3 linked regions of the Tamandua tetradactyla genome follow. The protein of the gene in region 1 purifies or fractionates together with the protein of each later gene. This does not show direct contact. Links are inferred from orthologs where the notes say so. Each region holds a gene or a part of one and is shown on either strand. Other genes may lie near its edges.

What was found.
Region 2: the proteins of EEF2K (region 1) and BTRC purify together in Homo sapiens (affinity purification with western blotting; 4 studies listed by BioGRID and IntAct, with this or other methods). This does not show direct contact. The link is inferred for Tamandua tetradactyla from reciprocal best matches to the Homo sapiens genes EEF2K and BTRC.
Region 3: the proteins of EEF2K (region 1) and FBXW11 purify together in Homo sapiens (affinity purification with mass spectrometry; 7 studies listed by BioGRID and IntAct, with this or other methods). This does not show direct contact. The link is inferred for Tamandua tetradactyla from reciprocal best matches to the Homo sapiens genes EEF2K and FBXW11.

Annotation. Positions count from the first base shown.
Region 1 is NC_135349.1:35,059,430-35,070,003, reverse strand, and holds the start of EEF2K (eukaryotic elongation factor 2 kinase), read left to right. Parts: upstream 1-5,941; 5' UTR 5,942-6,229; intron 6,230-10,574. UniProt on the Homo sapiens protein: Threonine kinase that regulates protein synthesis by controlling the rate of peptide chain elongation.
Region 2 is NC_135339.1:62,880,371-62,890,643, forward strand, and holds the start of BTRC (F-box/WD repeat-containing protein 1A), read left to right. Parts: upstream 1-4,972; 5' UTR 4,973-5,079; coding exon 5,080-5,127; intron 5,128-5,406; exon of another isoform or gene 5,407-5,537; intron 5,538-6,221; exon of another isoform or gene 6,222-7,379; coding exon of another isoform or gene 7,380-7,389; intron 7,390-10,273. UniProt on the Homo sapiens protein: Substrate recognition component of a SCF (SKP1-CUL1-F-box protein) E3 ubiquitin-protein ligase complex which mediates the ubiquitination and subsequent proteasomal degradation of target proteins. Recognizes and binds to phosphorylated target proteins.
Region 3 is NC_135346.1:53,350,636-53,361,111, reverse strand, and holds the start of FBXW11 (F-box/WD repeat-containing protein 11), read left to right. Parts: upstream 1-5,270; 5' UTR 5,271-5,688; coding exon 5,689-5,733; intron 5,734-10,476.

The sequences.
Region 1 (10,574 bases):
GGCCAGCAGAGATTACCCTGAGCCTTCCCATGTAAGAAAGAACCTCAGTTGAAAGTTAGCTGCCTTTCCTCTGAAGAACTAACAAAATAAATCCCCCCCCTTTTTTTTTAAATCCTGTCTTTTTTTTTTTTTACATGGGCAGGCACACAGGAATCAAACCAGGGTCCTCTGGCATGGTAGGCAAGCATTCTTGCCTGCTGAGCCACCGTGGCCTGACCAATAAATCCCCTTTTTTAAAAGCCAATCCGTCTCTGGTGTGTTGCATTCCAGCAGCTAGCAAACTAGAACAACTACCCTTGCACCCCTCCCCCATTTCTTTTTTCTTATTATTTTAAAATTTTTTATTAATGTATGTTATATATTCATATACCATGAAATCATCCAAAGTGTACAATCAGTGGTTCACAATATTGTCATATAGCTATGCATTTATCATCACAATGGACTTTTCCTTTTTTTGTGTGAAAAATACCACATATACAAACAGCAATCACTTTCAGAGCACATCGCAACAATTAGTTGTAGAATAGATTTCGGAGTTTGGTAGGGTTACAATCCCACAATTTTAGATTTTTACTTCTAGCTGCTCTAAATTACTGGAGACTAAAAGAAAGATCAATATGATGATTCAGCAATCATTTGTTATACCGTACTTTCTGTGTATAACCCCACCATCACCTTTGATCTTTCTCCGACTCTTTAGGTGTATTTAGTCTATGCCCTACCCCCCACCCCACCCCATTTCTTTTTAATATATACCTAGGGATGGAGCTCTGACAAACTGATTTCCACAGCGGCTGCACCATTTTACATTCCTGCCAGCAATGCACGAGGGTTCCAGTTTCTCCACATCTTCATCAACACTTATTTTCCTCTTTTAAAATTATTATTATAGCCATCTTAGTGGCTGTGAAGTGGTACCTTATTTTGGTTTGGATTTGCATTTCTTAATGGTTAATGATCTTAAGCATCTTTTCACGTACTTATTGGCCATTTGTATATCTTTGGAGAAATTTCTGTTCAAGTCCTTGACCTATTTTTTAACCAGATTGTTTATCTTTTTGCTGTTCAGTTGTAAGAGTTCTTTATATAGTCCAGATATAAGTCCCTTATCAGATAGTTGATTTGCAAATATTTTCTCCCTGTTCTTTGAATTTTTGCTTCACTTTCTCAGTCGTAACTTCTGCATCCTGTGGGTTAGTGAGTCCCATGAATTACTCTGGTGGAGAGAAAGGGAAGGGAAAAAAAATCCCTTTGAGCAATGGAGAGGAGTTTTTATAGCAGAGGGATTTTGCTGCTGGGAGCCTGAGGAGGGGAACTTCACCCACTTGCGAGGGGCCGCCTCGGGACAGCCCAGCAAGGTTTGGAACTGGACTGAGCCTGTGAAGGGTTCCCTAGAAGGGTTCAACTATTTTTGCTCTTGGAAACAGTCATGTTGAGGTACAGTTTAATTTTATTCCCTTTCATATTTAATTTTTGTTTGTTACCCTGAACTCCCCAATAATGTCAGAATAGCCTTGTGTGAAGGTGAGGGAGGTGAGTGAGAAACAAGCAATAACAAAGCATGCCCCGCCCCACTTCTCTCTGCTGAAGTCACTGGGGATATTTGTCTCCCTCGAGTTCCTGGCAGGGATCCCTACCCCTCCTTTGGGACTCACCTTAAAGGCCACTACCTTGGAGAAGCCCTCCTGGACCTCCAGACCAGGTGGGTTTGCCTTTATAATCTCTCATTGCCACTTCTCACTCACACATGCCTCACAGTTTATCGTGCTAATGGCGCAATGACTGTTTGAGTGACTTCTGTTTTCCATTTTCTCACCCTTTGCACAGCTCCCTGAGGGCAGGATTTATCTCCAACTCCCAGTACCACACTTCACACACAACAGAAAATTGATAAATATCTGCCCTGTGAGCTGTGGGGCTTGACTCCCTGGGGTGAGTCTGGTCCCAGCACTGTGGGATTGACAATGCCTTCTGGATCAAGGGGAGGAAATGAGGTGTAATAAAATAAGGCATCAGTGGCCAGGAGAGATCAAGCGGTATGGAGAGGCTATTCAGGAAGGGACTCTTATGCAAGCTTCAGTTAGATAGTACTGATTGTCATGGTTTGCTAAACTCCAACCAGTATCACTCCTGTTCACTCTTGAGAATACCTAGAGCTTGAACCGAGACTCTCTAAAAGTTTCATGCACTAGGTTTGCTTTCCTGGAATCCATAATTCCCAGAAGGTTCCTAGGTCAGATAAATCCTGAAACCCAGAGGGACCAGCTTCTCCAAGATTATTAATTAATTACATCCCCCTATCCTTTAGTGTTGGCAGCCCTTCTCAACATGAAAAAGTCAGAAAGGGCATTGCCCAAAGATCCCTATAGATTGGGAAAAGGGTCAAAGAAGAAGGAGGAGATATAACAGAGAGGACAGGATTTGGCAAACAAGTACGGCTGTTGAACCACTAAAATAATAATCCTTCTGGCTTCAAGTGTTTAGGAGCAGCTAGAAGGAAAAGTGTGAGATGGTGGAATAGTAGCCAATGACAAACTCTGGGATCTGTTCTGTAACTACTTGTTGAAGCATGTTTTGAAAATTATTGCTTTTTTCTTTCTTTACTTTGTATATATGTTATACTTTATGGTTAAAACATTAAAAAAAAATTAGGAGAAGGGTCAAAGGAGAAAGAGGAGTTATAACAGAAGAGATAGGATTTAACAAATGAGTATGTCTGTTGAATCATTATAGGGATATTTCTTCATCTCCAGTGTCTTGGAGCAGCTAGAAGGAAAAACCTGAAATTGTGGAACTGTATCTCATACCAAACTCTGAAATCTGTTCTATAATTACTGTTACAATGTACTTTGAAATGTATTGTCATTTTTGTAAATGTGTTATCTTTCCCAATAAAAAATGTTAAAAAAATATTTGCCATATGAATAAATGCCCAGAAACTCAAGGCTTGCATCTGACTGCTCAACAACTCCCTGGAAAGAAAAATTCTCTTCCTTGTCTTACTATTCTAGGACACTGCAAGCAAATGCCATGAAATGGGATGGCTTAAACAAAGGGTATTTATCATCTTACCAGTTTTGAGGCAGTGGAAATGTCCTAATCAAGGCATCATCTAGGCGATGCTTTCTTCCCAGAGACTGGCTGCTGGCAACCCCGCTGTCTGCCACCAGCATCTGCTGGTCTCTACTTCGGCTTCTGGGTTTCACTGATTTTGGCTTCTTGGTTCTGTAGCTTTCTCTCTCTTTCTCTGTATTCATTCTGTTTGTAAAAGGCCCCATAACAAGATCAGGCCCTATCCTGAATGAGATGGTGAATTAGCTTCATCAAAAGCTTCTACTTACAGTGGATCCACACCCACAGGAATGGGTTAAGAAAATGTTTTTCTGGGGCACACACAGTTCCAAACCATCGCACTTGTGGTTACAATAGAAGTCCCAGATTAGAATCTCATTGGCCTAGCTTGGATCACTTTCTCATCCCTGAACCAATCAATGGGACTAAAGGGATGGCACGTGGCAATTAGCCAGCTCTGATCATGTGTCCACTCCCGTAGCCAGAGCTGAGGGGAAGGATTTGAATCTCAGGAATTGAGAATAGAATGGATTGGTTCCCGGAGGCAAATCAAGATGTTCACGGAAGGAGAGGTGAATGCTGCTTGCAAGACACATTTACAGAGGCTTAGAGAAGTTAGGTAATTTGCCTGAGGCCACGGAGCTCTGAGTTATGGAGTCTTTATTTGAGTTTCATTGGGCTTAAACAGATCAGCTTGGTGTCTTTGACTTTCCTTCTGGCTCAGCTTCTCCAGGGCCAGAATTTCAGCTGCAATTCTGGGTTTTACCAAAACAAGACGAGTCTTCTCAAAATGACCAAAAGAACAAACCCTCCAAACCAAAATTGCATTTCTAGATTTTGTATTTTCCCAAAACTTGTAGGGCAGAGGTCAAAGTGTGAGACACTCAGTGGTGACTTTCAGGCCCATTTCTTCCTCATCCTCTCTTCCCACCTTATGAAAATCCCCTGTATGTCACCCTGCTGCCACACCCAAGCATCATAAACTTGAATCTGCTCCTAGCAGAGAGCATAGCATAGAAGCTGATAAACCTGAAGGCCTGCTCTCCCACAAGGGAATCTGAATTTTCAGGGGCCTCAAATACTGAGGAATAGAGGCTTAGACTAGATACTCCAGAGCCAAGATAGACACAGTTTTGGGTTCAAATGTGGCTCTGCCACTTACTAGCTGTGAAATCTTGGGAAAGTCATGTAACCTGCCACAATTTCACTATATAAGAACTGGGGACAATAATAGGGTTGTGATGAGAATTAAAAGAAATAATGCCTGTAAAGCCATTACCAGAGTGCTTGCCACAAAGCGAATGTCCTCTAAATATCAGCACTTATCATGAGGTCCCCAAATGGCACATTCAAGCAGGCATTACAAATGACAGGGTGGCTCTCGGCCACAGAAGCACGTTCACAACCTGTATTGAGGAGGAGAGTGATGCACAGGACAGCATGGGGTCTACATATAACGAAGAGTTGGCTGTCTCTGTTCCTGGTCTCCCTGCACCCTGCAGTCTCTGAGCTTGCCTGGGGCTCCCCTGGACAAAGAACTCAGCACTCTCTCCAGGGCCATGGAAGGATTCATTCACCCACACAAAGGAGCTTCATCGAGGGGCACAGGGAGGGGGTTTATTTTGCACAGTCCAAATTATTTACATACCCCCACTAGACACTACTGGAAGTCCTTTTCTCCCTTCCTCCTCCCACAGTGCCTAGCAGTTAGTTGCTACTTTGCTCCCCTGACCCCCACCCCATCCTGCAATTTCCTTTCCCCTTTTACTTCACGGAGCAACTCAGCTTCACCCTGGCAGATACACTCCGATGAGCAGACCCCAAACACTCAGATTCTCTGCAAAATAGAAACTGTTTGCCAAGAGCAGGCATTTGAGAAGACTTGGGGGTTGTGGTGATGGAGGTTATACATAACTAAACATACAAATGTGTGTTCCTCGGAAAACTTTGAAAACAGACAAATCTGGATTGAGTTCTGTTCTGTCCTTCCTAGCTGCATCACTGCGGGAAAGCCAGTGTCTTTATAAGCCTGGGTTTTATGATCTGTAAAGCAGAGCCAAAGAGACCTATCTCATAAGGTCGGTGTGAAGAGGGGATGAGATAGTTCAATAAATGTCACAATTATTATTTTTATTCCTAGAAAAGTGTCTAGAAAGATATATCAAAATACTGACAGTAGTTAACACTAGTTTTATTTCCCTTTCTTCTTTTTACCTCTCCATATTTATTCATTCATCCATTCGTTCATTCCACTGGTATTTATCAAGCTCTTACTATGTGCCAGGCCCTGTACTAAGCATTAGGAATACAGCAATTTACAAAGCAGGTAAGGAACGTCTGGAGGGAATATTAATCAAATAGTGACACAACTAATAGCAAATATCACAAATGCCTAGGTCATTCATTACAAAGCAGTACGCAGAAAAAGCAAAGCTATTTCGTTTTAAAATGTTTTAAGTTTACGTACAGAAACATTCCAACAAGCAACGGGATGGTTTTATTAGTAATTGTGTAAAGGATTCGAATGAATACAGGAAAAAGGCGACCGGAAGGCTGGGGGTGGGGGTGGGGAGGGGTGTCCGCCACCCCGTCTGGAATTAACCATTTGGGAGGGCGCCCACCTGGCCACCGCGGGCCAGGTCCACCCCACGCATTAGCTCTGCATTCAGCGCGCCGGGGGTGCCGGCAGCGGACTCGGCTCCTATTATCGTGCTGGGCGACCCGGAGAGCGCCGGAGCAGCCAGCAGAGAGCGGCGGCTGCAACAACCCGGACCGCCGCCGGGGGCACCCACGTGAGTGCCGCGCCGTGCGCCCGCCGGCCGCAGCCCCGCCCCGCCCGCTGCTCCGGCTCCAGCCCCAGCCCCAGTCCCAGTCCCCGCCGCCGCTCGCCTCCTGCCGGGATCCGACGCTGGCGCTCCGGTCGCTGCTGCCACTCCAGCCTCGCTCGTCGTCGCCAGCTCTCCGGCCCCTGGCACGCGTCCCCCGCGCGCCGGGATCGACCCATCAGCCCCGCGCGCCCAGCTCGCCGCTCCCCGGCACCCTCGGGGGGCCCGCCCTCCCTGCACCCTGGAGCACCGGGCCGCGAGCATCTGCCAGCTCCTCTGGATTCTCGCGGCCGTGAGCAGCGGCTGCCGCGCCTGCACGCCCGAGGGAGGTAAGGTGCTGGCCGGGCTGGCTGCGGGGCGGGGATCAGGCGCCGCGGGCCTCCGCGCTCGGTGAGGCCGGCGCCGCGAGAGCCGTGGGTCTGGCACTTGGGAGTGAGCCCAAGGCCGCGCCAAAGGGGAGCGTAGGAATGGGGGGTGGGGGGGTGGGTGGGCAGTGGAGAGCTTCTCCTCCGGTTGTTAAACTCTCCAGGGCTCAGTGTTTCGCTTCTGTAAAATGGGGAGCCGTGCAGGCTAACGGCAGCCTGGGTGGCCACGCGATAGCGGCTTTCTGGCTGCGAGAGACAACTCCGGGGTCCCGCCCCGGGCTCCTCCCGGGCCAGCGGAGGGGGGCGCAGCGTGCCTTCCTGGCGTCTGCGAAATCTGGAGCCGCAGACCCCACCCGGTCCCTGAACCCGAGGCCTGCGTCAGCCCGAATTCCTGGAGCCTCGAGGACCCTCTAGACGCGCCCTTGCTGCGGTATTGGCAGGCGCCGCGGACATGTGCGCCAAAGGGCCGGACGTTAACACTCGAGTGGCGGCACCGGAGCGGGGGCCGCCCGGGTACGCCCAGGTCTAGACCCGCCTGCGCGAGCGCGGGGTTTGGTGGGGAACCACCCCAGCTGCGACGCGAGTGTGACAGAGAACTGCGTGGCAGCGAGGGGGAGACGAGATGTGCCCTGTGCGGACGCTCTCTGGAAGGCCAACTTCTGGGTCCTTGGTCCTGGGTGCCTGGTCCAGGAGAATAGGACCGAGATACCCACCGGCGAGAAACAACTTGAAGCTTGGGTTTGAATTCTGGCTGTATTACTTACCTGCACGGCGACCTTGGGCAAGTTGCTTAACCTCTCTGATCTTCATTTTCCTCATCTGTAAAATGGGTGCGCTATTACCATCTATCACCCAGTGTCCCTGTAAGGATTAGAGCGACTTAATGTGTGCTGGTGCTTAGAGCAGTGCCTGGCTCACAGCGAGTGTGTTGGGGCTCGTGGTCATTCCGAGACCTCTGGACAGGCTGTAGAGCTGCAGAGAAGTGAGCAGTAACATAGGCCCACCCTCTGATTTTAGAGGAGGAAACCAAGGCCCAGAGTGGTCCCTAGACCTTCAGAAACTCCCTAGGTGGGAGCCAGCCATGTAAACAGCAGACTCTAATAAGCAAGATGGACTAACTGGCAAAAGACAGAGCAAGCAGATGGGAGCTGATATTGCCCACTGTATGTGTGTGTGTGTGTATGCGTAGGTACTAGGGAAGGCTTCCTGGAGGAGGTGATATATAAGCTGAGTTGAGAAGGATGCTGGTGGAAGGAGGTAGGCTTTGGAGAAGGACGTATGCATTGTCTTCCTTTTCTGTGGCCCCCACAGCACCTGACATTCATTCATTTGTTCATTTGTCAATTCAACAAATACAGTCAAGTCTCTGGATGACATGAATTCAGGTGTAAAATGGTTGGGATTAGTGTGCAACTGCTAGGCCCCTCTTCTCTGGGGTGGATGGGAGTGAAGTCTTAAGTTCTTTCCTTCTACCTGGGATGAGGGGTGAGGCAGGAAGTGAGGGCCTGATATCACTGGAGATCTGTTTTTGTAACAGTTGTGCACTTCTGCTTCACCATTTTTTATTTTGTAGCTTTTTGTGACAGAGCCGTGGTTTTTTTGGCTGACTAAGGATCTATCACTGATTTGATTTTGAAGCAGTTTTTTTTTTTTTTTCCTACATGGGCAGGCACGGGAGGTGAGAATTCTGCCTGCTGAGCTACCATCGCACCGCTCTTGAGGCAATTTTAATGTGGTATGTGGCAGAGACAGCTGGGGGACACCAATGTCCATGTTCTTCTCTCTGTCTGGCCTATGGGCCCCCCTTAATTTTCTCAATTTGATGGGAACCACATGCCTGAATTTTGGCCACTAAATGCGAGCCGAGGTGGTGTGCTTCTCCTAACAAGCTTGGACCCTAAAAACCTCCCACTCTGTCCCCACTTGGCAGCCCAAGGGAGAACACTGTAAGACCTAGAGGCGGGCGGAGCTCCCTTTGGCGTCCCACACTGGAATGGGATGTGAGCAAGAAATTACCTCTAGTGGTTCAAGCCAGTGAAATTTGTTGTGGCCGTTTGTTATGGCAGTGAGTCTCTACCCTGACTAATATAATGCTTACCTTTCACTAATATATAGTGCCTATAAAATTTGCTATAGTGCCTAACCATGATAGATTATCTTGCAAGAGGAAGGCTTTCCCTGCCTGGAAAAAGTGAAAAATGAAATGCGCTAGATCATTTCAAGAATGGAAAATAGTAAACTCACCTGGCCAGAGACTACCCTAAGACTACCCTAAAAAGGACTGGGTGATTTCCTAAACCTTTGCATGGAACCTGTTCTTCCCCTCTGAAAGTTTTTAGGTTCTTCTCCTTGTTCTAAAAATTTAGGATAATGTGGTTCTCAGTGTGGTCTGTTCCTTTGTATTGTGCTGGGAACTTGGGCCCTTTCTTTCTGGAAACACATGTCCTTCAATTCTGAGAAATAGTCTGCCTTTTTTTTTTTTAATTTCCTCCCCTTTATTTCCTCTGTTCTCACTTTCCTAATATTCTATTTTAGATCCCTAGACTGGCTCTCTGATGTTCTCATTCTTTATCTCTTAGCTTCTGTTCTCTTTGCCTTAGATGATTTCCTTGACTTTATCTTCAACTTTCCGTTAAAGTTTTCATTTTTGTAAAAATATAACTAATTTCCAAGTACTCTTGTCTTGTTTGAAAAAGAAATAGCATCTAGTTCTTACTTTGTGGAGGAAATATTTTCTCACTCTAAGGATATTAATGTATGGTTGTTTTTTGCTTGTTTGTTTTTAAGTATTCTTCTTGCACAGCCTCAGTTTGCTTCCCTTGCTTTCTTTTGTGGGTTTGTTTTTGGTCTGTCTTTCATATGAGATACTTTTTCAGATATCTGATGATACCTGGCTGTATGCCCCAGAGATTGAGCCTGCAGTGGGCTCCGTGGAAAGTCTGTGGGGGTGGGAAAGACCTGCAAGCTGGGGTCTTTCCTTTGGGGTGATCTGGCCATGCTGTTTCACCGGGGAAGGGTGTCTGTTGGATTTTTATCTTGCGCTGGTCAGATTTCCCCAAAGCATTGCTCAGTCTTTGGTTGGCAGGGTGGTGTCTGGTTGCCAGGATGCTGGAGGCAGTGAGGAAGAAAGCTGAGGCTCAATAGCAGAAATTTGGATTCAGCTCTTTACCAGTGGGTTACTTAAGCTCACTCTCTAGGATTCACTGTTTCTAGTCCAGTTCTTAAAGCTGAAGCAGGAAAGTTTGAGGACCAGGTCAACACTGGGAAGTTTACATTCAAAGTAATAGCAGCTGACTGGACTGGTTTTTAAAAAATGATTGTATGCTGGAGATAAGTAGATTCTGCTGTCAGAGAAACTGCAGACTGTTACCCTAATGAACTGAAAATGTGACTGGAAGAAGGTGGGTATTCTGATGACCATGTCTGAGCTTGGGATGAAAGCATCTTGAGTTCTAAAGTGTTGCTGGAACAAGTGTTTGCAGCCAAGGATAATGGACATAAAACAAAAAGCCTTCAAACAGAGGAAAGAGTGAGTCACTAACACACTGATGATAAGGCAGAAGATGACAATTTCCTGGTCCCCACCAAAAGTCCCAGAGCTATAAAACTTCCAGAGAAACATTTCAAATGGTTAGAGAGTGAGAGGGTGGACAGTGTTGAGCTGTGATGCTTTCCAGCAAGTCCTAGCAAGGGCTCCGCTGGGAGGGGCTGAAAAGCAGGTGGCCAAACTGCAGAAAATTTCTTTAGGCTGGTGGTTCTCAAACTTCAGTGTAGGTCAGAATCCCTTGGAAGGCTTGTTTAAACACAGATTGCTGATCTGCCTCCCAAGTCCCCACCCCCACCCCCTGATTCTAATTCAGTGGGTCTGGATTGGAACCTGAGAGCTAGCCTTTCTAACAGGTTCCCTGCTGATGATCTTGCTGGTCCAGGGAAGACACTTTGAGAACCTCTGGTTTAGGAACCAATGATGGTAAAAGCCCTGGATCAGCCTGCACAGGCTTCAAACCCAACTCCCCTAATTTCTAGCTGTGTGATGCTGGGCAAGTCACTTAACCTCTGTTATGCAGTTTCTTCATCTAGGATGAAGCTAATAGTGCCCATCTTTTCGAGTTCAGGGGAGGCTTCCTGGAGGAGGTGGCATCTTAAGCTAAAACCCGAAAGGTGAGCAGAAGAGAGCAGAGGAGTTGGCCAGTGAACAGGCAGGAGGGGCAGATAGGGAGTGTGCCAGCTGGAGGGGAAGCTAGTGTCTTCCAAGAAGCTGAGAAGAGTTTAGGTAACAAGTGCTTCACAAGCGACACTGATAGGTTCT
Region 2 (10,273 bases), on another chromosome or scaffold:
GTGACTCTTAGGCCTAATTTTAAGGAGCCTATTCTTTGCGGGATTAAGTTTCATATGAACAAACCCCAAGATTGGAGGTTCGGCCTATTGCTTTGGCTGTCTCCACTGCCTGTGAGAATATCAAGAATTTTCCACTTGGGGAAGTTAAATTTTCCCCCTTTCTCACTATTCCCCCAAGGGGACTTTGCAATGACTTCCCTATTCACTGTTCAAATCGCTCTGGGATTTATTTGGGCATCACTCTGGACAAACCTACAAAATCTCATGCTCTATGCAAGGTTCCAAGTACTATGGTGTTCGATTAAGCTGTCCACATAAGTTATATTAGGAAATGCACTAGTCAAAATATAAATTTTGTACCAAGTAAACATTTTTTGCTTGTCTCACACATATGGTCAAGTTTTAAAATATTAATTACTATCTATTTTCAACACCCTGCATTATTGACATTAGAGGAGTGAGTCTTAATGAGGACAGGGAAATGAAGAGAAGTATGTGTGTGTGTATGTGTGTGTGTATGTGTGTGGCACTCTTTCTTTAGGGCCCAGCTAAAAGTGTATCTCTCTATCTGACTGAAATGTAAATAACCTTTCCCACTTCCTCTGGACCTCTTGACCCTAGGATTAAGTCTATCAGATATTCAAATAGTTGATGGTGTTTTTTACTGTTTGTTTTAAAATTAGATAATGACTTTGCTTCCAGTCAATCTTGGGCAGCCCTTGGCAATCCTTAGAAAATGTAGTTTTTTAGAGAGGGGAGGGAAAGGTAATTCTAGAATTTCCTAGAATTTGGAAAGCAAGTTAGGCTTGGAAGGGGACTCTAGATAGCAGAGGTCAGCAAGAAGGCACTGGACACCTAAACGCCAAGGCAGTGGTCTCAAACTTGACTGCAGATTAGAACCACCTGCGGGTCTTTTAAAACAACCATCACCCAGGACCACCCACAGATCTTATTCAATCAGAATAGCTGAGTGGTAGCAGAGGTGTGTGACTGTGGGTAGAGTTTGGGCATCAACATTGTTTATAAAGCTCCTCAAGTGACTCTACTGTGCAGTTAGGGTTGAGAATCCTACCAGATTTAGGAGAGGGGATGCTAAGGGAAGAGGAAAAAGCACAGGCATGTGTGGAATATTTCTGGCTTTGGCCTATTTGTTAATCACCAAACGCATACTGGGGGGTGAGGTTTAGAAGAGCAGATTCAAGTGCTTAAAGAAAGGCAAGATCATTATGAGTTGAGGGTTACCTAGAGAAGCGATAATTTGCAGACTGGCAACAAAAAAAGTTAGATAATTCCAATGGTGACAGAGAAGTGACATCCTCCCACACTGCTCATGGAATTGGAGAATGTTATGGCCTTTCTGTACTGTGATTTGGCACCACATAGTCAAATTAGGTATCCTTAGGCTACAAACCAGTAATTATGGTTGTGGGTATAAATTCCCAAAGATACTCTTACTCATGGGACATGTAGGCAGTGGGTCACTACAGTGCTATTTGGGGCAACTGGATTCTGGAGGCTTTGCTGGAGAGTGGATAGGTAAAACTTGGGAGATGTCATCATCAGAATATTAGCAGTTAGAAGCAACAAGTTAGATGTACACATGGAAACACGAAAGGTTTTTTTCTTTTTACTGGGGAAAGGCTTTATTATATTACTTAAGATTTAAATTTAAGATTGGTTTTTATCATGTCTAACTGAACATATGGAACATATGGTGTCCGTAGTTACAATTAGAGGCGGTTTGGATGACATCATTATAAAAAGCTCAGTGTTTTTTTATTTCCAGAATTTTTCTGCCCCTAAAGATTCATGGGAAGATGATCAATATCTTAAGAAGAGAAGAAGCATTCTACCTGCACAAGCATGCCTTGAAGATATTGCCAGTTTGGTTTGTAGACCACTGCAATAAAGCGAATATTGCAATAAAGCAAGTCACATGAATTTTTGGTATTCTAGTGTATATAAAAGTTATGTTTATAAACTGTACTGTAGTCTATAAGTGTGTGGTAGCATTTTGTCTAAAATATCAATGTTTATACCTTAATTAAAAAAAAACTGTAAAAACAAACGAACAAACACATTTATTGTTAAAAATGCTAAACTTGGGGGCAGGGGGTGCAAGGGTAGTTCAGTGGTAGAATTCTCGCCTGCCATGCGGGGGACCAGGGTTTAATTCCCAGCCCATGCACTTCCCGAAAAGCAAACAAACAAGCAAAGAAAGAAAGAAACAAATACCCAACAAATGATGCTGCAATAACTGGATACCCATATGGAAAAAGAATGAAAGGTGATGCCTGCCACACAGCATAACAAAAACAAAACAAAATAAAAAACAAACAAACAAAAAAACCCAGGAAAAATGCTAACCACGATCTGAACCTTTAGTGAATTATAATCCTTTTGCTGGTAGAGAGTCTTGCCTCAATTAATGGCTTCTGACTGATCAGGTTGGTGGTGGTTGAAGATTGGTGTGGCTGTGCCAATTTCTTAAAATAGGACAACAATGAAGTTTGCTACATCAATTGACTCTTCCTTTTACCTTAACTCTTAGAGCACATTGTAGGGTTATTATTTGGTCTAATTTCAATATTGTTGTGTCTCAGGGAATAGGAAGACCATGTTGTTTACCAAGCTAGACTTTCATTAAAATCACAATGGGGTCATCAGGTCTAATGCTTTAGTTCTGGCTGTCGTAGTGAACAGATCTTTCCTGGTGGTGGCTGGTCAGGACATGGAAGTCCGTGCTCCGCCAGGAAAGAGTTTTTGAAAACCATAGGTACAGGGTGCAAAATGTATGAAACAATGAGATACATATAAAACAAAATTACATCTGTGAATTAAAAATATAGCATACAAAGCATCTATTTTGCAAGAACCATATAAACAAACAAAAAGGAAACATTGCCTATGGGGGAGGAAAAAGGGGTAGAACTGAAAGAGATATCTGATATCTATAACTGGTTGAATACGGAAGCTAAAGGACAAGGGTGGGTCAAATAGTACTCTCAGCTCTTAAGCTAGGAGAATGGGAGCAAGGAATCTAGGAGAAGCGATTTTTCATGTTAGAAGTCCAGTTTTCCAGTAAAGTGGAGCTTTAAAAAGGTTCTAATGATTCAGTATTTTCTGTGAGCAACTGTGCCAAAAGCAAGCTCATAGATGCATACTGTTTTCAGTTGGCAGAGAACTTTGTTTTCTAGATGACAAAAGAGAGGGCCAAAGTGGTTTGGTTAATTACCCAAAGTCTACCAATTAACTGATGAAAGTGGGGGCTAGAATCAAGTCTCTCAACTTCCAGTCCAATGATCTTTCCTAAAACCTGAGTTTTCCTTAAAAATTAAGACAGTTCATATTTGGATTTCTGTTTGCCTGACCATGACTGGTTCATTTTAAAGAAGGAGGATTTACTTTTTCTGTGGACTGCCTCTGCCAACTGACTTTCTGCTTAGATTCCCAGCTGGTTGGGCTTTTAAACAAAAACTCTTTGAATTTGCTTTACTAATCCTCATCTGTACCTGCTTGGACAAAGTGAGGATTGTCACTGACCGCCAGCTTCATCAGGCAATGTTTTCATACTCTCGTACAGATAATAAAGTAAAAAAAAGTGACTGTTCAACTTCAGAGGTGTTTTAGTTTTCTAGGCTGCTCAAGGCAAATACCATGGGTTGAGTTAAAAAAAAAATAGGAATTTATTTGCTCACAGTTGAGGCTGGGAAAATGTCCAAATCAAGGTTTCATCAAGGAGATACTTTCTTCTCCAAGATTGACTGCTAGCAATCCTTGGCTCCTCTGCCACTTGGCAAGGCACATGGCGGTGTCTGCTTATTGCTGTCTTCTCTCTTTCCCTGTTTTCAGGTTCTTGCTTCTGTGGTTTTCGCTTTGTCTTGCTTGTGTTTATAAGGGATTCTAATAAGCTTAAGACCAATCCTGAATGAGGTGTGTCACACCTTAACTGAAGAAGCCTCATCAAAAGGCTGTTTACAATGGGTTCACATCACAGGAATGGATTAACTTAAAGAACATATTTTTCTGGAGTACATACAGCTCCAAACCACTACAAAAGTTTTTTTCTTTTTTTTTTTTAAGTGGAGAGTTTAATTCATTTACAAGTAATATTGAAAATGTAGGACTTGAGCTATTTTGCTATTTGGCTTTTGTAAGTCTTATACCTCTTTTGTCCTTCAATTTTTCCATTAGTTGCCTACTTTTGTATTTAGTTGATCTTTTGTAGTGACCCATTTAGAATCCCTTCTCATTTCCTTCTGTGCATACTTCTTAGATATTTTCTTTGTGGTTTCAATGGGGCTTAAATTTGACTTACCTGAGCTCTAAACACCAGAGAATTTTCTCATTTGAGTTCTGCCTGGCCCTGTCTTGTTGTGAGAGAGACTAGGTTCCTCGGAGAGGTGTGGAGTGACAGTTTGGGTAGACTTTTAAATTTAGTAGTGGGTTGGAGGTGCTGCCAGGTGCCCATAGAGCCAGCAATTCTGGGTCTCAATCCCTCCTGCAGAAGTGAGATATATGAAATTTGGGTTTGACCAGCTCTCCACATTGAAAGTTAGAGAGGTCCTAGCACCCCCGAGTCTTGTAACATTTTTTCCCAGTATGTGGGTTACTGGTGAGGCTCTTTCTGGCCACCATCTTGATGGCAAATGCTAAGCAAGCCGCCACCGGCGTCGCACGTTAACCACGGAGATAATCTGTGCATCCTCCCGTTTTCTATCCTAGAGGCTGTGAACTACAATTCCCATCAGCCGTTTTTCCCTAGTTGACCACGAGTTGTCTAAACTTTGCTTATCGACAAAGGCAAACCTGCGGCAATGAACAGCGGGAGTCGGGACTCTTGGTTGCCTCACTTACTGCAGCGGGAAGCTCCAGAACTACAAATCCCTTGAGCCACAGGGTTTACGCATGCGCACAGCACAAGCGGGGGGGGTCCCTGACCCCCCCCACGCCGGTGCCTAAGAGGTAAGAGAGGGCGGGGGAAGGAAGAGGAGGCGGGATCCGGGCGCTGCGTTGGCTGAGGCCTGGCACTAAGGGGGCGGCCCCGGTTGAGAGCAGACCCAGCGGCCCCGGGAGATTATGGACCCGGCCGAGGCGGTGCTGCAGGAGAAAGCGCTCAAGTTTATGGTGAGGAGGAGGGGCCGGCCGGGGAACAGTGGAAGCGGTGGCGTTGGTGGCGTCGCTAGGAGTCGGGCCTGGGCCGCCCGCCGTCCGGGGGAAGGGACCCGGGCACTCCGAGCCTAGGCCGGCAGCCGAAGCGGCTGGAGGGCCGGGACCGGAGCTCCGGGGAGGCGGGAGGGGGTTGCGGAGCAGACCCGGGGGTGGGGGCAGCAGCTCCGCCATCTTGTGGATGAGAGGCCGAGTGACAGCGGGGAGCTTAATCGGGGAGGGGGCTCCGGGCCGCGCGCGGGGCCCTGGAGGGAAAGGGGCGTGGGGACAGTTACTGAAGAGCGGAGAAAGCTCGGAGGATAGACTCTGCGTGGCCGCTGGCAGGGCCTTCCCGGTGTCAGGGTCACGGATAAGGCCCAGGAAAGAAGGTACATTCCAGCGTGGGGAAGCGGAGCGCGGGTGGGTGGGAGGACAGATATTGAGGGTAGGTGGAAAATGGGCAGACCTAGATGAAGATGGATCTAAGGGTGGAGGAGGGAAACCAGGGCTGTTGGGAGGCGTGTAGAATTGTAGAATGAAGTGGGAGATAGCATTTGCCCTGAGGCTAAATCTTATCTTAAGCCAAACTAGTGTTGACAAACTCTGGAAAGGAGGAGGCCTTATTTAGGAAGATAAGGATGGAGATGGTGACCTAGGGCGATGATAACAGCCCTTGGGAAAGGAGGGTGGTGTTGACTGTGGGCCAAATTACAAATGACAGGAAAAGGGGTATATACTCAGAAAGGAAAGGCTGTATATATAATATTATATATATTAGGAATAAGGTGATGAAAAGCAAGAGGCTGATTTGTCAGGGAAATATGGGTATAGGAGATTGGGGGAAAATTAAGATCTAATAAGGTAAAACAAAACTTAGAGCTAAATTGTGGAGGTAGTGAACTGTAGGGGTGGGGACCTGTACGATGTTCTGGGAAAGGAAAGGGCATGTAGATTAGAATTGCAAAGACTCCTAAGAAGCAATGAGAAGAGTGGAGAAATTCAGAAAATGAAAGTGGGGTTGTAGGTAGTAGAGAATGGGAGGTAAATCAGGATGGGGGGTTGGTTACCCATCAGTTTTAGGTTGAAGCACAATGTTTGCATGGATTGGATTTTGTGGGTGTGCTGGAAACTCTTGCTTTAGAGCCGATTTCTTTAACTTTGTATCATGCTTTTCTTTTTCTATGCTTATGTTTGGGAAATTTGTGTAGTCTGATATTTGATGCTTTTAATCTGATACTTCTTGTATATCCTAAGTGTAAAGCCAGACTTGATGGTTTCAGCTAGAGTGAGGGGATACATAGATTTCTAGTTTAGCAGGTGGCTTTAGGGACATGGGTGTCATTTGCAGTCAAGTCTTACTTTTTCAAAAGTAATTGTAACCTGCACTCCAAACCTTATTCCTTTGTTAGATAGTTTCTATTTTGTACCCTTGCTGGAAATAGTATAACAACTTCAAATCTAAATAAACATGTATCACTAACCTGGATTGAATTTAGGCTTTAAACTGCCCCATTTACAAAAATGTTGTTCAAGAGACTGGTCCAGTTTACAAAGTCTTTGTGTTAGGTCTTTCAGAAACACCTGATTAAAGTTTGACTATCAAAAACAAGAATACATTAAGCTTGAAGAAGGTTCTTGAATTTCTGCCCAATGTTGAAGAGAAACTTGAAATTTTTTTGGACTTTAGTAGAGGAAATTGCTTGATTTCGTTACCCAGCTTCTAGATTTATTTTCAGTTAGAAAAGTGGCAGATGCTTACTTTTGTTTCCCTGCTTAGAGGGTTGACTCTTAATCTTCATCCTGACACTGTGTCACATTTATGGAATAATGTGATTTATAGATCATAAAGAGACATTATGAGATCATTTTCTTAACTTCCCATTAGACCTCAGCCTATGAACATTCTCAACTGCTTGATTTCTGTTTTGTACCAGTGAGACATGTTTCCATAATGGGCTCGTGATTGAATTATATTGGACCTGGAAATGGCCATGTCGTAGTTCACAGCTTTTGGGGTACCATACATTATTAAATGTTGAGTCAGTTTCCATAGGGAGAAATCAGTTTTTCTTTAATTTGACTTTCATTTTTTATCTTACTTGTCACTGTGGCTGTTGTTTGAGAAAAGGCCAACTTGAAGAGGGTAACCAAAAATGACACCTTAATAACTGAAGCAGACCTCGGAGAACCAGAGATACGGTCTTCTCTTTCAGCTCAGTAACGCTCTAATTATGAATCTGAGTAAGTCCATTTGGTCCCATCCACCCTGCTATAACATGCTTGTTTATTCAGAATGAATTTTGAGATAGGAAGATAATTTATTTGCGCTTGCCCCAAGCAATTAGTATACAGTACATATGGAAAGGTTAGCCTTTTAATCAAATTGGAATTTTTGTGTAGTATTTGACTTTGTTCTGGCTGCTATCCTTTCCCTCAATTGTGAATTACTGATCATAACTTTTGTACAAATGCCTTGATTTCTCTAGTTTAGAAAGATGTAAAATTTGTTTAAAATGTCAATAGGAAATGAATACTCTCTTTGACGAATTTTAGTCATGACCACATTAATGTAGTGCTTTGTTTAGGAATTTTACAATAAAATCTTATTATGAGACTACTAATCCATAGTGGGCTGTTTAAGTCACATATGATCTAGACTTAAAGCTTATCCTTATCTACTTGTGAAAAATACTTTAAGCAGGGGTGCATGGGTAGCTTAGTGGTTAGAATGCCCACCTTTCATGTGGGAGACCCGGGTTCAAGTCCCGGACCATGCACCACCCCCTAAAAAAAAAAAGCTTTAAGCAGAATATTAGGGTCTAAAAACAAATAAATCATATTAAAGCAGTAGTTTACATTAAATGACCCATATGCTAATCTACTCTCATTCAGCTTTAGCAGGTCCTCAAGGACCTTTTCTAATATATCTGTGGTCAGTAAAAACATGATACCTCAAGAAAGATAAGTGGGAACTTGAAGAAGACCCAAGAAGAGAAACTAAAATGATTGTGAGGATGAGGCACACATATATAAAAGGTGTAGGATGGGTAGATAAGCCAAGGAATGAATTTTATTTGAAGTTTATTTGAAAAAGTGGACAGTATACATATATTCTTGTCCAACTATTCCTAGAATTTTAGAACGGGGGAAACACTTGAAACTTGATAAAATAATTTTAAGACATATAAAATACAATATTTTAAAAATAGAATTGGTAGATAACTGAAACAGTATAAAAGCTTAACTATTGTTGCATAGCAAACTACCCCCAAATTTAGTAAAAAAAAAAAACCCTCTTTATTGTTTCCTTCGATTCTGTGATTGACTGGTAGTTTTTCTGGACTTTACTTGGTATTGGCTGGGGTGCTAGTATGGCTGGAATGTCCAAAATGGCCATACTTACCTAGCAGGCCACTGGCTGGTAAGGCTACTCACCAGGGCTAATGGCCTCTCACCATGTGGCTGCTTGAATGGTAGCTAGATTCAAGAAAGAGAGTTCTAGGAGACAGAAAGAATCTGCCAGTTTTCTTAAATCCTTGATTTGGAAGTCCCAGAAGGACAAAATTTGTCAGAATTTGTCAAAGCCAATCAAGGCCAGTCCAGAGTTAGAGAAGCTTGTTGACGTGAAGTGTGGCATCTATAAACAGAGATGAGGGAATTGTGGGGACTCTCTTTTGAGACTGACAACCATATATATTAATGTAATTGGCTGTTCTTGATTGTATTTGTATGTTTCCATACAAATGGGATTAGCCAGGTCTGTAGGTACTAACTCTAGGAATGTGTGGTAGGTGTCTCATTTTTGAGCTTAATTTCTAAAAGAACTAATGTGATCTCATGATGTTATGTCACTGTAGAACTATATTGAGGTGAATAAGTATGATTTAGAGACTTTTCTTATTTGCTTAAGAAGCATATATATTTTAAAGCAGTAAATTGCATTTAAAAATAAATACATTTTTCATTGTCATAGACTTTTCTTTAAATCAGTTAGATTGAGTACCAGTTCATTGGATGCACATTTGAAACTAGTTCTTAGTTCTGTGTATCCCTTACCTCTTCCCAATTTAAATTAGTTTACAAACTATTTATATTCTTTTATTTTTTTTTTAAATTTGTTTCAATTTGTTTCTTTTCTGGATAGTCACATAGGTAGTGGGGTATAAAATGAAGATTAGTGATGATCTTTGTGCTAATTTCTTGATTTGTATTTGTAGTTAGATGCATTTAATAAATTATTAGAAGTGAATTAATACACATTGGAGTAAAATTCTTCCACTTTGAATTGTTGTCAGAAAATTTTTTATTGTTAGATTAGAAAAATAAACCTTCAAAAGAGACCACTTGCTATTCTGTATTGTTTGTATGTTGTTTAAAACCTGAAAGAAAGGAAGCAGATAAGAATTGTTTTCCCTTCCTAGAGGGAGAGAATGCATTATGTAAGATCTTCATATATAGATATAATTATTTTATGGTAATGGCATTACAAAAAAAATAGAATGAGACTGAAGAAAGAAAAAAGAATCTTTAGTGGTATTAAAATATTTTTGATCCCTTCTACTTTCTCACAATACTTAAATACAGCACAGAAGTGCTTTCTAAATACGTATAATGAGACTCCATTGAAGATGAAATAGAAAATATTTACCAAAGTTTAACAACTTGGTCACTATAAAGAAAACTGTCTCTCCCCTTATTAAATCAATACCAGCATCCTAAAATTGGTAGGGAGGGGGTGGGGGGATCTCCACATGGGAAAGTTCAGCTGGATTTTACAGTTTCAATCAGTATTCCGAAGTATTCATCTCGTACTTGTGGAATTGCTGGATAATTACAATCAGACTGAGGTGCTGTCCCCTTTAGTTTCCCAAAGCTTGATTTAGACAGAACTTGAACATTTTATGGAAGAGTTAAAGATAACAAAAGTGAAATAGATACTGAGAGTAATATTGAACTAAGAATATGATTTGTTCTCTGGGGTACTACCATCTTAACTCTGAGATTGCCTTTATATGTAGCCACAGTGGGGAATGGGAAACAAAGGAGCAAAAGCACAAATCTGGGAGAAAATTCCTGCCTGCTTAAGATGAATCCTTTGAATTGGAATTTCCTTCTGAGGTCTTGC
Region 3 (10,476 bases), on another chromosome or scaffold:
AAGGATGCAGGGGTGGTGATTCCCACCACATCACCATTCAACTCTTCTATTTGGCCTGTGCAGAAAACAGATGGGTCTTGGAGGATGACAGTGGACTATTGTAAGCTCAACCAGGTAGTAACTCCAATTGCAGCTTGAGCAAATAAAAACATCCCCTGGTACCTGGTATACAGCTATTGATCTGGCAAACTTTTTTCTCAATATTGAGAAAGGTTTTTTCTCAATAGCTGTTAGTAAGGGCCACCAGAAACAGTTTGCTTTCAGCTGGTAAGTTCAACAATATACTTTCACGGTCCTACCTCAGGGGTATATAAACTCTCCCGCCCTACGTCATAATCTTGTCCGCAGCACCTTGATCATTTCTCCCTCCCACAAGACATCACACTGGTCCATTATATTGATGATATCATGTTGATTGGACCTAGTGAGCAGAAGTAGCAACTATTCTAGACTCACTGGTAAGGCATTTGCATGCCAGAGGATGGGAAATAAATCCAGTAAAAATACAGGGGCCTTCCACCTCAGCGTCCACTGTATGGTGCTGTTTCTCCCTTAGCCAGGATCCATGGGTCCAGGAATCAAGGGGTGGAAATGGAAGTGGCACCACTCACTATTACTCCTAGTGATCCACTAAGAAAATGTTTGCTTCCTGTCCCTGCAACCTTGAGCTCTGCTGGTCTACAGGTTTTAGTTCCAAGTGGGGAAGTGCTCCTACCAAGAGAAACAACATTGATTCCATTGAACTGGAATCTAAGACTGTCACCTGGTCACTGGGCTACTCATGCCCCTGGATCAACAAGCCAAGAAGGGGATTACACTACTGGTTGGGGTGACTGACCCTGACTATCGGGGGAAATAGGACTGCAACTACACAATGGAGATAAAGAAGAGTTTTCCTGGAATATAGGAGATCCCCTAGAGCATCTTCTAGAACTACCATGCCCTGTGATTAAAATTAATGGAAAATGGAAACAACCCAATCCAGGCAGGACTACCAATGGCTCTGAAAGTTCAGGAATGAAGGTTTAAGTCACCCCACCAGACAAAGAATCATGGCCAGCTGAAGAGCTTGATGAGGGTAATGGAAACATGAAATGGGTAGTGGAAGAAGGTAGTGATAAATATGAACTATGACTACATGATCAGTTACAGAAAAGAGGACTGTAATGCTGTTTTGTTCATGTTATAGTATTTAAGTTGTAAGACATCAAATTTAAGGATGAATATTACCCAAGGACTTGAATCCTATTCTGGGGAGATTTGATGTTTCCAGTTATACACAGGACAGTTGAGTATTGTTAGGTAAGGAAAACAAGTGTCTTTTATTGTTTTCTGTTTAGAAATTAAGTATGGTTTAAGGTGATGTATATAGCTGCCAAGTTGAAAAGGAGTGGACTGTCATGGTCAGGTTTATGTGTCAATTTGGCCAGGTGGTGGTACTTGTCTGTCTGGTTGGGCAAGCACTGGTCTGTCTGTTGCTATGAGGACATTTCATATAATTAATTCATGAACACATCGGCTGCACCCATTTGTAATCAGCCAAAGGAAGTGTCTTCTGCAATGAATGATGTTTGATAGAATCACTGAAAGCCTTTTAAGGAGGAATCAGAAGAGACAGGCTGTCTTCTTGCTTTGGCTGGTGAGCCTCTTCGGTGGAGTTCATCCAGACCCTTCATTGGAGTCGTCAGCTTCACAGACTGCTATATGGATTTTGGACTCTACATTCCCACAGTTACATGAGACACTTTTATAAATTTTATATCTATGGACATTTGCTGCTGATTCTGTTTCTCTAGAGAATCACAGCTAATATACATGCCATACCTCTTACCTGTCCCTCTCATTGACCACTAGTATTTCAATCTACTCAATTCACCAAAATATAAATTTTGCACCAAATAAACATCTTTCCCTTTGGTCTCACACAGAAGTTGAAGTTTTAAAATATGGACAGTATCATCCTTTAACCCTGTATTCTGATTTACCTCAGTGCTGTCCAAGTCAGCGTCAAATCTCTACTTGAAGTCAGAGTCCTTTTTCAACTTTTTAAACAGTTTCTGTATGGGATACTGCTGACTTTCATAGCTTCAGAGCTCTAATTCTGAGTCTCAGGTGCCATAAATACCTGGTTTCTGGGAACCATCAGGTTATAAATATTGTTGAGTTCAGTATCTCAGAATTTAGAAATAACATTTACAACTCGTGAAAATATGTGACTGGTGTAAGAGCTTACAATCTAGGACACTTTACAATAGGCTCCAACCTGATAACCCATGCTCTTGACAGCAGTTCACCAAGTTTTGGTATCATAGTCAGTCAGTACGAGTGAGGTATGATAATATTTGTCTTTCTCTTTCTGAATTTCACTCATCATACAGTTTCCAGCATTTATTCACCTAGTTGCACGCCTTTCAACCTCATTTCTTCTTGAGGCCATTCAGTACTTCGCTGTATGTATATGCCCTGGTTTCCCCTTTCATTCCTTAGTCATTGTACCCTTAGGTGCCTCCATCCATTGTGGATTGTGAGCACTGCCACCATATACACCAGTGTGCAAATGTCCACCTGTGTCCCCATTCTCAGTTCCTCCAGTATATACTGAGCAATGGGATTTTAGGATCATATAGCAACCCCACCCCTAGCCTCCAATGGAACTACCACACTGCCCTCCAAGGGGCTGTAACTCTCAGTTTTCCTACCAACAGTGAATAGGTACATGTCTTTCTCCGCATTTTCTCTAGCATTTATTTCTCTCTGTTCATTTTTATTCACACATCATACAATCCAGTCTAAGTGTATAGACATGCCTCGTAAGGTACCATATGATTTTAATAAAAGGTCAGAAATCTTTGGTTATATCCACTGCAGTTCCGATGCCAGGGTTTGCAAACTCAAGATACGTAAATTAGCCAAGTATGCTGATAGAAGACCACAGGGAGTGGTGGTGACTGTGGAATACTACAGAGTACATGTTTCATATAAAGAAGGTAATTTTTACCTAGGCCCTGCAAGATTGTTGCCATGCAGATTCAAGAGTGAGATTATAAGTTTTCACGAGAGGATAGAAATTTAGATTTTTAAAAAGTATGAGATTGTCGAACTTTAAAATAATAAAAAAGCTTTTTAGGATAAATAAACATATGAGAGGATTGCATTCGGCTTGTGACTCCTGCCATATGCCTTGTGTCCTAGGTTCTGTGGCAGGAGCTAGGTCCTCAGAGGTCTTAGTTGGTAGTTACACTGGTGGCCTCCAAAGAACCATGCTTTTTTGTATTCACACACTGAATTAGTCCTTTCCCACATGGCTTTGGGCCTGGCCATATGACTTGCTTTGGCAAATGGGGCATTAAAAAGTATGGTACAAGCAATGGATTGATAAGCATCTGCTCATTAGGGCTTGCTTTCCTGGAAGTAAGACATCACGCAGTAAAGAAGCTTGGGCAAGATAATGAACATTAAGAAGTCATGTGGAAAAGAGAGACCCTAGAAGATGAGTAGCCATTCTGAATGAGCTCCTAGCTGAATGCAATGTAACAGCATGAGTAACCTTAGCTTCCACCATGCAGAACACAAGCATTGTCTGGCTGAGCCCAGTCAACCCACCCTGTTGTGGAAAATAATAAACCATTGTTATTTTAAACCACCAAGTCTTGGGGTGGTTTGTTATGTGGCAAAAGGTAACTGAAACAGAAATCATTAGTTTTAATCCCCTTGTTTTACTAATGAATATCCAAGACCCTGAAAGGGAAAGGGAACGGGTAAAGTTCATACAGCAATTTAATGGCAATAACTTTCCAACCCTGTGTTCTTTCTTCCTACTGCTTTTCTTTTAGCGGTTGGGGAAAAGCACCAGAAAAGAACTGTGAAACTTCAAACCCTAGCCGCAGGGAATTTAAGTTGTGTCCTGCCTGCATGCACACAAATTACTGTAATAACTTGGCCCTTGGAAAGGGAGAAATTCTTAGGTCATCCAGGCCCCTCATCTTACAGCTGTAGAGAATGCAAAAACACTGGAAAAGGAGAAAAGCAGCCTCTGATACTTGGAAGCTGGCCTAGTATAATTAGCAGGCTATAATGTTACTAGATGATAGCCTGGCAGTCCCAGCTAGGTCCTGTGCTCTGTTGAGCCTAAACAATTTCACAGAACATCAGCATCAGACAAGGCAATTCTGTGATTGTGTTAGATCAAGACAGAAACAAGACCACTCCATAATCATGCCTGAATATAGGTAAAACAAGAACATTATCCAAACCACAAAAATGACTACACAGCTTCCATCTTGGCTAATATGAGGGTGGGCGGTTTCTTCACCAATTACAGCTTTGGCCTCCGTCCAGTCTTCCCTCCTTCCAGCTTAGATTTATTGAGATGCACAGTCACAGAATTAACCCCATTTCTTGATAGCATCTAATTCTGAGTAAAGCCCCAGTTTCCTTAAACCTCCCCCCAAATCACCTAACACAACTCTTCCTGAGAAGCCCTGCGTTTTCCCAACTGTGTGCAGGCTCCTTCGCTGTGACTAATAAACCCAACTTGCTTAACTACGATTGAGTTCCTGATGGCCTTTGGCTGGAGAACACCAACACACCTGACAAAGTTCACGCAGACTTGGTGGCAGAGTTCACTGGAAGGAGTCTCCAGGTTTTCAGCTATGTTCCTTTCTTCAGCATCATTCTTTTGGTTCCTGTGTCTGGCCCCCAGCCCCGTGCCCGCCCCCCCTTCCCACCCCCACCCCCCGTGACATTAAGCTCCATGAAAACAGGATGCCATGTTCATGAGCTGATTCCTAGTGCCTAGGGTGGGGCCGGCAGAAATTGGTTGCTTAAAAAAATATTTTCTGAATGAATGAATGAAAAGAGGTGCTCAATATATATCTCCCAGCTCCTTTCAGTTCGTGTTGTATACGGATGGCACCACAGCACATCTCATAAATCTCCTTGTACTGAAAGAAATCTCCAAATCCCTCACTTCTCGGAGGACTATGCTCTCAGAGCTTCCTTCCTCGTCTAAGCTTCTCTCGCACACCAAGCCCTCCCATAACTAACCCCCGAGGCCAGCATCCCTCCTTAACGCGTCTTAGAATCATTCTGTCTTCAGCATCTGCCCCTACCACCGCCCACACCCGCGGCTCTACCCAGGCGTCCAGCGGGCACTGCGGCCACCGACCGCGCATGTGCGGAAATCGGCCGCTCACGCAGTTTCTCTGACAAGTGAGGAGTTGCCCCGGAGTTTCCGTCCCGCTCTGGGCAGCCTTGGGCTCCCAGGAAATCAGGAGAAAGTAACCGGAAGGAGCGCCCCTGCGCAGGGCTTTCTGGGATATGTAGTTGGTGCGCTCTCGAGGCTCTACGCTGAGTTCAGTTCTTCAGTTCTGCAAGTCTCGCTTCAAAGTCCCGCTCTACGTTCAGCCCGGAATTCACCTTCATGCTACCAGGAGAGTTTTGGCCAGGTGCCGGCTTCCCGTTCCCACAACGCTCCGCGGGGACCGCGGCGCCTGCTGGGAACTGTAGTCCCCCCTCTGCGTACTGCGTTCGCGGAGGGGGAGGGCGGAGCTGCCGGCGGCCCGGGCGGGCTGGCAGCTAGAGTGGGTGAGATAGCCGCCTCCGCCTGTGCCGCCTCCGCCGTCGCCTCCTCCGCCGGAGCCGTTCGCTGCTGCGCGGGGAGAGCGAGGCGGGGCTGCCGGGGCCGCCATGGAGCCCGACTCGGTGATTGAGGACAAGACCATCGAGCTCATGGTGAGTGCGGCCCGCTGGACGGTCCGTTTTTCCTCCGTCCGGCCCCGGAACGGGTCTGCCCCCTTCAACGTCCGGCGCGAGGCCGGCCTTGGTCCATTCTCGCCGCCTGGGCCCTGACTTGGGCCCCCAGCCTTCCCTGGCCTAGGGCTCTACGCAGCTCCTCGGAATCCCTTGAGATCTGAGGCCGGCCCTGGCCCGGCCCCTTCCATGCCCCTCAGTTCTGCCCCCCCCCTCCCCGCCCCCTGTCCCATCTGCTGGACGACCCTTGCTCGCTTTTGCTCTTTCCTTAGCTCTACGTTCGCTCTAGCATCTCGTTCTCTTCTGGAAGTGGGATTTTTTTTTCGGTCCCTCTATTTCTCCGGCCCAGGCCCGCACCTCGCTTGAAAGCCCCACTCAGGCCGAGTGAGTTGTGGTGGGGAGGGGGTACGGAGGAGATGGGTCAAGGACCTCGGCCTCTGCGTTCTAGGAGGGGATTCTCGGCACCTTCTCCCCAGTCTGGGGCTGTGTGGATGCCAGGATAGGCCCTGCAGGGCTGGGGGGTGGGGAGTTGTCTGATTTGAGGCTGTGTCGGATAGGCGGCCTCTTTCCCGGGCTCCTGTGGTGTCCGGCTTCTTGGACAAAGGGTTTCCTACCCGGCCGAGAGAGATGTATGCATGGCCAGGCCCCAGGTACTCAGGATTCTATCCCCCGGGAAAGGAAAACCATAACTTAACGTTTTCCGGAGCTGCTTTGTGAAATTGGGGTGGAGGGATCCGACCTTATCACTACCGCCAGTTCTTTCTTCTCAAAAAAAAAAAAAAAAAAGAATCCTTGGTCCCTGGGGAAGTGATCACTCTTCTGTTATAAACCTTTGGCAGCCAGACCGGACTCCCTGGCCCATGGGCACCACCAAACCTTTTTCTGCCTTAGAAGGGGATTTTAGGAGCAGAACCTTTAGAGAGTGGTTAGTAGAGGTGAGGCATTTGCTAATTGGAGGATGACTTGGTAGAAGAAGTAAAACATGGCAGGTATTAACCTGCCAATCTGAGCGTTAGGGAAATCAAACTGGGCTTTGAAGAGCTGGGGGCAGGAAGTCTTTGCTTCAGCAAACGGACATACCCAGGATTTCTTCCTGTGGAAACCTTTACAGTTTCTTTGTATCTCTTCTAACACAGTAACAACTATCCCAGGGTTGGGAGGAAAGTGAAAGAATCTACTTAACCCAACAAAATATTTTCCTAGCCAGCTTTTCTCCAGTGTGAAAATGTTTATTGAGTCAGTGATTCCACTGGGTAGGGTCGGTGACATCAGAGCCACTTCCCCCATTTAATGCTATAAATAATAAATGGTGACACTGAAAGTCTGTTGGATAGCTGCATGGTTTCTGTTGATGATGATCTGGGGAGTTGAGATGCCCGTTTTAAAAATGGAAGTACAATAGCATAAATACAGAGGCAGCTTAATATTTGCTGTTCTTTGCATAATTCACAGAACTGGACTTCCCCAGTATTCTTGAAAACTAGAAAAAAATAAACCCTAGTAGTTTCGATTTTTAATGTGTTTGGTTGTTTTCGGAGAAATACTGTCACTTGTGAGTTTTTATTTTATTTTCATTTGTGAGTTTTTGCTTTATTTTCATTTACTGAGTAATTTTTCCTTTTCAGAATAATTTATTCGACTGTTGTAGTCAAGTCTTTGCTATTCTGCAACTTTTGTAGTGGATTATTTTGGTGAAATATCGTAATTGGGATTACATATACGCTATATATTCTCAAGGATATAGTTATATAATGTACATCCTTACAATAGGAGGAATAAGTTATATTGAAAAATCGTATCTTTGATACTTCTTTGAAGTTGGCTATTCTGAACTCATTGTATTTCCATTTACTAAAAAATAAGTATAATGTTATTATTTCCAAAAGAATTGAAAGAAATACAGTAAAATCCAATTCAATGTCTTTGAGTGTGTGGTAAAAAAATCTCAGGCCTAAATTTTCTAGCTTCCTGTACTCATAATTTAAAAAGTTTTGATATTCATCATAGTAGTTGTCTCTCATCTAAAAAGAGACTTCAGCCTTTAAAGGACATTATAAACTGGGAATTCTTAGAAAATGAAACAAAGAGCTTAGCAGCTATGATCAATTTTAAAATGGCTTCTCATATCAGTTAACACTCTTAAACAACCCTTCCCATAAACATACATATAGTTAACACAAGGTGTTTAACTACTGAGTAAGTCTGGGGATCAAACATAGGAATGATAGTGCTTTAAAATCTAATTGCATGTGGTTTTCTGTATTCACTGCATTTTAATTACAGTTTCCAGAACTAGTTAAAAATTATTTTTTTTATGCTAGATTCAGAAAAACATGATTGAAGGAGAGGAAGGGGTTAAAGTGATGGTAATTTTGAGGGCCTAAAGCATGAAATATTTTTGGATTTTATGAGTCATCTTCAATACTCGGATATTTGCGATTGTGCTCCCTATACCAGTTTGGTACTTTTAAAGGTTAACAAGGTAACTTCCATTTGATATTCAAGAGTATGCTATATTAAAAGGCACAAATAGATTTTTTTGACTGTCTCCATTTCTTAAATCTTCATCCCTCTGCTTCCTTTGATTTTTGTTCACATTTTTTTCTCGCACTTTTGATAAGTTTACTAGGAAGTAAAGTTGATGGATAGCAGAATAATTAAATCTCTAAAACATAACTGCTATTGTGACTACTACTCTTGCCTGACACCTGGGCCCGCAAAGGGTGCTTCTACTGACCTGCATAGGGTTCAGACTTAAGTAAAGGCCATTATCTCTTCATTGAGATGACTGAATGTGTAGTGATGATAATGAATAATTTAACTGCTAAATGACTTTCATGCTTACCTAGTTTGTAGGCCTGGTTGTTGTTTTTTTTTTTGCATCTTTGATAAAATCAACTTTATTATTGAGGTAGAAAAGTAGTAAACCATTTTAGAAATATATATAGTTGATCAGGCCACATCTAGTACTGTGGACTCACAAGAAAGAGTGAAAACTGTATATTACATACCATATAGTATTTATAAATTTTCGAGTTAGGCATATCAGTTGATGTTCAGGCACTGAACACTAGAAAGCACGCATAAGAGCTGTTGATTGGTAGGATAAAGATGGTTAATTTCTTTAGGAGATAGATGGGAAGTGATGTTAAAATCTTAAAAAATATAATCTTGCCCCTTTCTGGGTCTCCTCCCATTTTACACAATTAATGTGCAGTTTTTTTCTATTGTTAATCTGTTGAATGAGTCGCCTGTTTGCTGAGTGGCATTGAGTGAGTCATTTCCCTCTTGTCTTATCTCTGAGTGGCGTTATTTCTTGTTGAGTGAAGTAATATAGGTAAAATACATTGGGCCTCATTAAGAAGATGTGATAAAATGCTATTTTTAGAGCCATTGGAGTACAGGCAGGCAACAAGGCCAAAAAAACTAAATGAAGTAACTGGAAAATTTTCACTTCTTTTTCTTTTTGGATCTTTTTATCCCCCTTCCTTTCATTGACTTTCATTTAGCAGGGTAAGTGGGACTTTTTAGTGACTCCATCAAGAAATTGAATCTTTGTCACCACCACTTGTCCTCATCTACCTCTAATGATGTGCTAATTTACCAAATGTAAATTAAATAGAAGCTATTCTAATTACAGTCCAAATGAAATAAACCACCTACATATTTACAACCTTCAGTGACCTGTCTCATGAAGGCGTGGCTCAAATATATCAAATTTTATCCCGGATTTTGGGGTAGGTTAGATGTCCTTTCAGATTTGACAAATATAGACATGTTCGGCACTCAAATTTTGGCTCTCTTGTCCCCTGAGTGCTATTTTCTGTACCCTGGGAGAGCTAGCCCAGGAGAATCACCAGCCCATTATATAGGTTACAGAACAGCATACATATCTGAGATTGAGCCTGTGAATTATAGAAATGAACTTTCCTGTTCATTGAGTCCCCTGGATTCCTAGGTTGCACCTTGTGATCTTCCAAGCATTTCAAGTTCTAATTAATACACATTAGTTTTTCCTCCTGCCTTCCTCACTTACTCTGTATTCTAGCCAGAGCCAGGAGGGCCATGGTTTTCCACATTCTCCTCAAAGAATGTGGACCTGCTTGATCAGGTCCTAACCACCCTCAAAACACAATTCAGATGCCACTTCTTTTGATGTCTTTCTGTATTATGGTGACAGATGTCATCTTGTTTTTACAACTATAGGACTGTCTACATGATTATCATTGTTAATTGAATGAATTTTAGCCCTTTGTATTTATCTTATGACAGGTAACACATTCCAGGCTTATATTATAGTTACTTGTTTGTCTCCTCTATTAAATGATAAACTCAAGGACCTTATTCATCTTCTTGACAGGCAGCTGCTGCACATAGTGCCTTTTTTGTTTTTAGTAAGATGTTGAGTAAGTATTGAGTTGAAGTTTCCTGTTGATTGTTTTCACGCGTTGTTCTGCCTGTATCTTAACCATCTTCTTTTCTGGAAATATTTATCCACATTCCTAACTCTCACAGTACTCTGTTCCTAATTCTTTACCCTACTTTCCTTCTTGTTATTAAAAAGCTTCTAAGCTTCCTTTCCAGAGGCTGTATCTGATTGTCCTTTGAACCCTTCACAATGACTTGCTCATGGGTGCTAAATAAATGTATTGATAAAATTAATGTTAGGTATTTTCTTCTGGCTGTGAACCTTTTTAAAGATTTCTTTTCAATAACCATAAGGCA